2 linked regions of the Coturnix japonica genome follow. Each later gene encodes a partner of the first gene's protein in a complex. Links are inferred from orthologs where the notes say so. Each region holds a gene or a part of one and is shown on either strand. Other genes may lie near its edges.

Region 1 (3,545 bases):
TATTTGGCTTCTGGTGGTTCTCATCTCCCTGGACAAAGAAGTATCTATTGGAGGCTACAGTAAAAGATATACTTTATAGGAATTTTGAGAAATTTGAATTAGGACTGTGTTTATAAAGTTGCTGCAGAATGACGTGCAAAACTGCACAGCACTATTGCTTTCTGGACAAAGAACTTCTTGGCTTGGTTCTGTGCTTTAAATATCTGAGGAGACATTACAGATCTTCTTCAGCGTAACTACTGTTTAATTCATGTTTCTGGAGACTGTGAAAAAGACACGGTGTCTTACAGATGGAATATTCATCTTAACACTTCTTATTCTGGCTTCAAAGGCCTGGCATGAGAATGTGTAAGACTGACATTTACTACACAGAATTTTGGTGAGCTAAAGCTACAAATGTATTTGAATACGGAGCCCACAAAAGCTGTGATTTTTGAAGTGGGTGTTTGCTTTGGCAAATATGGAATGTGTAAAGCAAAGACTTGGTATCTGGTAAGCTGCTTGAAGAAGCACAGCTTTAGGTTTTTCTGCTTCCTTTTTGAGAAGCTCTAAGAAGAGCACTGAAATACTATCTTAGTGAAGAGGCTGATCAGAAAACAAAAGCAATGAGAACTAAGAGCTGTATGACTTGAGTGGATAGGATCTTAGCTAATGTAAGTCATCTAAAGTCTAGGGGAAGTATTGGAAAAGATGTTGAAAAATTTTGGTTGCAGAGCATGGATGGATTTTGAATCCTTAACAGTTCTGTACTCAACCTTAAGACATCATGTCAGTTTAAAGGGCAATCCGACTCTCATTAACTGAATACCTTAATTGTTTCGTGGCCAAATGTGTGCATGTGCAAGAGGAGAGGCTCATTTTAAAGAGCAGTAATAATGTTCTAGGCACATTTACCCAGCTGGGGCAGTGCTTTTTAGTGGCATAGGAAAAGCTTTCTCCCATACTGAAGTGGTCATTACTGATGAAAGTCTGTTTAGTGTGTGAAGCATAAGAATTTCAGCTGAAATATTCTTAAATAACCATCCATTTAATATGCACAACAAGTTGATGAGTTACAATAAGGTGTTTTTGGAGCTCAGATAGTTGCAACACTTCTAAGAAAGAAGGTGTAGGTTTTTATTTATTTTTTATTTTTTAATCCTGAATGCATAACAAAACGTTGTGAAGCCATTAATGCTTGCTTTTTATTTTATAGAATTTTTCAGTTACTTTAGTGTGTGGGATGTTTTGTTGGAAGTGCATAGAAGGGACACTTGGGCTGACAGTTGTGATTTCTTTGTGTATGCATGAAATATAACTTAAAGAATCTATTGCCAAGAAGGTTTGCTCCACATACAGACTTAGACTTTGCTATTTTTAAATCTAGGGAACACGAGTGGTTTAAGCAGGACCTTCCCAAATACTTGTTTCCCGAAGACCCTTCATATAGCTCTACCATGATTGATGATGAAGCCTTAAAAGAAGTATGTGAGAAGTTTGAATGTACTGAAGAGGAAGTGCTAAGTTGTCTGTATAGCCGAAATCATCAGGATCCTTTAGCAGTTGCTTATCACCTCATTATAGATAATAGAAGAATAATGAACGAGGCCAAAGACTTCTACCTGGCTACTAGCCCGCCAGATTCTTTTCTTGATGATCACCATCTGTCTCGCCCTCATCCTGAGAGAGTGCCATTCTTAGTAGCTGAAGCACCGCGGCCTCGCCATACTCTTGATGAGCTGAATCCACAGAAATCAAAACACCAAGGTGTAAGAAGAGCAAAGTGGCATCTGGGGATACGGAGTCAGAGTCGACCAAATGATATAATGGCTGAAGTTTGTCGAGCAATTAAACAGCTGGACTATGAATGGAAGGTAAAAGCATATTACTTCTTTATTACAAGAAGCAGTAGATTTTGAGCTGTGTTGTTATATAGCCTAGAAGTCTAAAAAACTGCATCTTCCGTATATAGTCTGGTTCAGCAATAGCTATAAGTACATTAATTTAAGGACTGGTATATTAGTTCAGCAAAAAGAAATTTGTGTGCTAGTTCTAAAACTTTCCAGTTTAGCTTTGCTTAGTATGTGAACAGTCATGTTTTTCTGAATGATCCTTGCTCAATGAAGTCAAAATAGATTACTTTTACCTTTGCATCCACCAGGTGCAAGGACTTTTTCTTGGGTTTCATATAAATTGTTTTGAGTTATAGTGTACCAAGATAGAAAGTTGCTCATTATGGCATAACAAGCAATGGAAATTTGCCAAACTGGGGGAAAACAGCTAAAGGTCAGCTAGGCAATATCAAGAGGAAACTGAAGGAAGTGGTCTGTGACCATCCTAGGTTCCCACTGTGCAGGCCCAACAGGGTTTTTAACATATATTAATGAATTCTTGGAAAATAATGAATATGTAGTTTCCAGAAATGTATTGCATGTGAATGGCTTAAATGCTTAAATTTAGAACATGAACTCCAGGAGTGAGTGCTTGATTTGTCAAGTTGCCAGGTATGTATCATGAACTAAAAGGAATGCTGTTTTTCTTACACTATGTTGGAGTTAGCAAGTTTACTTTCCTGATTTTTCTGATGACATTCCTGTGCAGGAAAACAAGTGTGTGTGTGTGCACCAACAACTTGCTTACTGCATGAAAATGGTTTTGGAAGAGGTAATTTATGCTGAAAGAAAAAAAGTTGTGTTAACATGTCTAACTTTTCTGCTGGGGCTCTAAGGATGTGTGGGTTTTCTTTTTTTTCTTTTTTCTTTTTTCTTTTTTCTTTTTTTTTTTTCCTTTTGCCAGTAGGAAAAAGCAAACAAACAAACAAACAGACAAAAAAAAAAAAACCACCAAAAAACGCACCTTAAGAGGCAAGCCTGAAATCCCTTGATATTAGTAAGTTGAAATAAGAACAGTATGGTCTGCATCTCAAGCAGTTCTGGTAACTAACTCAAATCTCTTTTGTAATAGGTTGTAAATCCATACTACTTGCGTGTTCGAAGAAAGAATCCAGTGACAAGTGCATATTCTAAAATGAGTTTACAGCTGTATCAGGTGGACAGCAGAACATATTTACTGGACTTCCGTAGCATTGATGGTATGCAAAGACTTGTGTTAATGGAACTATAAGGGAAACTGTTCTAAATTCCAGGTCTTAATTTACTTGTGAATAAGTGAATTAAAACTGTTACCCTTTATCAGCTAAAGCCAGATCTCAGTTTTAGTATTTCTTTGCTCCTTCCTGCTCTAGTGCTCCTGTAGTCAAATGATTAGCTGGTTCATCTCTCAAAACCCTCTTTAGCTGTATCAACTCCTCAGTTATTGGTTTGTGTGTCTCTACCAGCACTGATGCCACTGGTACTAAAAGGGGCAGCGCTATGAAGAAGCAATACTTAGGTTACTTTAACTGTCTGCTGCTGCTTAGATCCAGTGATACTTCATAAAAGGGTCTAATCACTTTACTGTACTAACAATGTAAGAAAAATACCAGTTCAGTGGGAGGGAAGAAGACTGCCTAGAGCCACTCAGCCAAGAAAGGACAGCCTGTCTTTTCAGTCATGAAGCTGATTTGG
Region 2 (4,011 bases), on another chromosome or scaffold:
CAGCCTCTGGGAGCCATCATGCCCATCTCGGAGATGCAGAGCCGCTGGGCCACCCGTGTCTTTAAGGGTAAGCGAGGCGAGCCGGGAATGCACTTCTCTGGGTATGGCAAGGCCAAATTATTCAGTTGCTGGCATGTGCTCCTCCTTTTATCATCCTTCTATGAAGGGATATAAAACATCACTGCATTTTGCAACAAGTGTTGCACTTTATTTCATCACATACAGCTGGTAATGGATCTCCTCACCTGCAAACCATTTTCTCTCTCTTATTTCTTTGCCCATGCCTCTCTCTTGCCCCATTTGGTGGCCCAAAGGCTTTTCCTGTGGCACAGCAGCCACGCTGGGCGCAGAGGGACACAACTGCTGATAGCACAGCTCTCTGCTTCTCCTTCTGTAGGTCTGCACAAGCTGCCCCCAACCAGCACCATGTTGGCTGACATCACACAAGCCAAGGAGAAAATAGCCAAGCGGTAAGAACCCTGCGGGGCACCAACCTGCCACCACCTCCTCGATGAGCACACACAGAGCCTGTCCCTGCCCACAGGTACGTGGCCAGCCGGCGGCACACCATCCAGGTGGATTACATCCCCTACATGGACGAGCTCGCCTGCCAGCTGGGCGTCAAGCCCAACGTGCCGCTGCTTTTCCTCACTGACCCCAGGCTGGCGCTGGAGGTGCTGCTGGGGCCCTGCACGCCCTACCAGTACCGCCTGCATGGCCCCGGCGCATGGCAGGGTGCGCGGGAGGCCATCCTGACTCAGCAGCAGCGCGTGGAGCACCCGCTGCGGGGCAGGGCCGGGCACGGCCGCTCTGTGCCGCCCTGCAGCTCGGTGCCACACAGCTTCAAGGTCCTCTTCAGCCTCGGACTCATCGTGGCCACGCTCATCTACGTCTCGCTGTCCCCATAGCCCCTAGTGAAGAGGGCTTTGGCCATCCCCTAACTCTGCCTTGGGTTTCGGTGTCGCTGGGAGGGGCACGGGGCACGTTTTCCTCATGAGAAAGGCAATAAAGCTCGTCCTTGTTCTCCATGAAGGCTCAGGCTCTGGGCTGCGCTCATTAACGCCCGCACTGCACAACGCAAACTACTCGCACCAGGCCGCGCTCCCACAGCAAAGATGGCCGCTCTCCCGGAAGCCACACCGCCCTCAAACAAAATGGCTGCCCGGTACCATAGAGAGCAGCGCGGGGGCGGGACAGAGCGCCCCGCAGAGGCTGGCGGTGGAGGCGGCCGCCATTTTGATCGGAGGCGGAGAGCGGGGCGGCGGCGGCGGCGGCGGGCAGGTGGGGCTGCGAGCGGGGCTGCCATGGGGGGCTGCGCTGCCCCCGTGTGCTGTGGGGCCGGGTTGGGTGCTGGGTGTCACGGCGGGGCGGGGGGCCCGGAGCGGACAGGAGGCGGCAGGGGGTGGGGCTGTCAGGGCGGCGGTGCGGGGGGTGACGCTGTGGGCGGTGGTGCGGGTGTCGGTGCCGTTGGTACCGTAACGCCGCGCCCGGTGACACCGCTATGGCCGGCACTGTGCCGGGCGGTGCTGCAGCGGCCCTGCACATCTCATCGTTGCCGTGGGGTGAGCCGTGGGCTCGCTGCCCTCTGAGGGCTTAAGGAATACTCGAGTAATTGCCCCGTAATGGTTTAAAGCCAGGCTTTGGCTGGCGGCCTCACCCGGCCCTCCGCACATAGCTTGATGTTCTAAGCAAATCCGCAGCTGTCACAACGCACCCAGTGAATCAAGGCTGGCTCCCTGCAGAACACAGCCGGCTGCCCCAGCGATGGGCTCAGCCCATGTATCGCCCGGCGCTGGGCAGACACGCAGCCCTGGGGTCGGCTATGAGCGCAGCCTGCTCAGCAGCACAGCCTGCACACACCGTGTTGTTACTCCTTGCCCTGGCCGCACTCCAGCCTGGCCGATTCCACTCCTGCTACTTGCAGCACTGTTGCTGTGCCAGCCGTGAAGCCGTGCTGCTCTGCCCGCAGGCTCACCCACACTCGTTGGGAGCTGTTAACAGCTGCTACTTTCACTCTCCGGCTGTTTTCCTGCTGGCTGTAGCGTTGTGTTCTGTGCAGGCTGACTGTGGGGTTGTGAAAGAGGCTCTGTTAGTGCCGGGAGACAATCTGCCACTCAAGGGTGGCTTTATTTCTCTCATCAGCCCTTCTACTTGTGTAGGATGTGGTCTAACTCACTTTTGTTTTAGGGTATAACAATTACCGGCTTAACTATCACGATGGCTCATAAGGGTATGCCTATAATTAGTTCAGCCTGTCTCGCTTGTTAAATTCCCCTTCGGCTCCCAAACTTGGCATCGGGGAAGAACTTTGGGCCTTTTTTAGGATTGCTGTCACTCTGTGCTGGCAAAAGGCAGCGGGAAGCAGCACCCTGCTCCCTGCTGGAGCCCACGGACATAGGCAACACTGCCTTCTTCCCCCTCTCACAGCGGCTGCTGAGCTGTCATGGGAAACACCACCAGCGAGCGAGTGTCCGGTGAGCGCCATGGCTCCAAGTCCCACCGCTCCGACGGCTCCGGCGCTGCCCATCCCACAAAGGAGCACCCACACAAGATCATGGTGGGCAGCACAGATGACCCCAGTGTTTTCAGCTCCCACGACTCCAAGGTAGGGGGCTGGCTGCTGCCTTTGTTGTCCTCACGTCGGGTGCTGGGTGGTGTCCCATAGGGGGCTGTGCTGGGCTGAGGCTGCTTTCAAGGAGAGGATTTTTGGTTGGGAGCAGCCCTCTGTTTAATTCAAGCTAAATACAGGCAGGGTGGCAGTGTGCCGGGGTACAGCTTTCATAGCAGGAACCACAAGCTGAGCTGCAACACAGGAGAAACATCTCCTGGGATGGATGGGTGGAGCTGCCTGCCCAGCCTGAGGTTACTATTGTCTGCAATGTGCAAATGGAGGTGGAGGGAAATGAAACGGCTCTGGTGTTCTCTGCTCAGATTCCAGGGGACAAGGAGTTTGTTTCATGGCAGCCTGACCTGGAGGAGTCAGTGAAGCCATCCCAGCAGGCTCGGCCCACTGTCATCCGCTGGGCTGATGGAGGCAAAGAGGTCTTCATCTCTGGATCCTTCAACAACTGGAGCACCAAGATCCCGCTCATCAAGAGGTAGCTATACCCCTTGGCTCACCCCGTGTTCTCCTCCATCAGTCGCAGGGAGCGTTTTTCTCAGTGCCATTTGCTGTTCCCTTTGCCCAACCTGGCTTCTCACAGTTCATCATGCCCGAGCTCGAGGTGTGAGCACAAATATGCAGCCAGCATCCTGCCTGGGGGCTGCTGCAGTGGTAGGGAGAAACTGTGAAATGGGACAGGACAGGATGGGCCTCCTTGCTTTCCCAATTACATGCCACACAGCAGCCATCCTGGCAGCAGGGCCCTGCCCAGGTGTGCTGCAGCTCTCTGAAGCTTGGTGGCCCTTCTCCTTGCCTGCTTGTGTTGCTGCTAGAGGGAGTTGTTTGGTTGTCCCTCACCTGTCCTCCTTCCATAGCAGTGTCCTCGTTGTTCTGCAGTACACCTGTGTTTTCTGTGGAAACACTATGTAGGACTGGGCATAATCCCAGCAAATACCTGCCACGGGATTATCTCGACTGCAGACTTCACAGGCACTTCATGCTTTCATCCTGCAGTACCAGCACAGGTTTAGATTCGTTGTTCACTCGCCCTGTCCAGTGTGTCTTGCACTTGCCATCATGTGATCCCACACGATGTGTGGGGCAGGGCTGCAAGCTGAGCTCCTGTTTGCCTTGTGTCCTGATTGGAACAGATGATCTTAGTGTTTTTTTCCAACCCTAATGAGTCTACGATTCTATGGGCCCTGAGGGATCTGAATCATCCTGGGGCTCTGGGCACTCGCACCTGCTCTGGCCATGCCTTGAGTGATGAGCAATCCTAACCCAGCACATGGGTGTTTGGGTCGAGGGGGCAGGCAGTGCATGACAAAGTGCTCTTCTCTGGGACAGCATCCAAAGCATCACTGCAGTAATGGTGTTGTACATCTGTTCTCTCTGCACAGCCACAACGA

Evidence for each region. The genes of interacting proteins can lie anywhere in the genome.
Region 2: the proteins of PRKAA1 (region 1) and PRKAB2 are in contact, whole or in part, in a crystal structure (PDB 4RER), measured with the Homo sapiens proteins. The link is inferred for Coturnix japonica from reciprocal best matches to the Homo sapiens genes PRKAA1 and PRKAB2. Residues at the interface, in NP_006242.5 of Homo sapiens: Gly20, Val22, Lys40, Lys42, Asn59, Arg60, Gln61, Lys62, Val69, Arg73, Val93, Ile94, Ser95, Thr96, Pro97, Ser98, Asp99, Ile100, Met145, Met175, Ser176, Asp177, Gly178, Glu179, Phe180, Arg199, Leu200, Ala202, Pro204, Glu205; in NP_005390.1 of Homo sapiens: Val80, Arg82, Ser84, Ser108, His109, Asp111, Ile115, Ser138, Asp159, Phe160, Glu161, Val162, Ala165, Leu166, Ser182, Ser184, Gly190, Gln191, Glu192, Met193, Tyr194, Ala195, Phe196, Glu199, Arg201, Lys203, Ser204, Pro205, Pro206, Ile207.

The regions. Positions count from the first base shown.
Region 1 is NC_029547.1:11,802,877-11,806,421, reverse strand, and holds part of PRKAA1 (5'-AMP-activated protein kinase catalytic subunit alpha-1), read left to right. Parts: intron 1-1,366; coding exon 1,367-1,853; intron 1,854-2,943; coding exon 2,944-3,070; intron 3,071-3,545. UniProt on the Homo sapiens protein: Catalytic subunit of AMP-activated protein kinase (AMPK), an energy sensor protein kinase that plays a key role in regulating cellular energy metabolism.
Region 2 is NC_029523.1:4,168,120-4,172,130, reverse strand, and holds the start of PRKAB2 (5'-AMP-activated protein kinase subunit beta-2), read left to right. Parts: upstream 1-1,206; 5' UTR 1,207-1,281; intron 1,282-1,788; exon of another isoform or gene 1,789-2,427; 5' UTR 2,428-2,443; coding exon 2,444-2,605; intron 2,606-2,931; coding exon 2,932-3,098; intron 3,099-4,002; coding exon 4,003-4,011. Other genes in the region: dimethylaniline monooxygenase [N-oxide-forming] 5-like, read left to right, coding at 1-67, 398-470, 545-908. UniProt on the Homo sapiens protein: Non-catalytic subunit of AMP-activated protein kinase (AMPK), an energy sensor protein kinase that plays a key role in regulating cellular energy metabolism.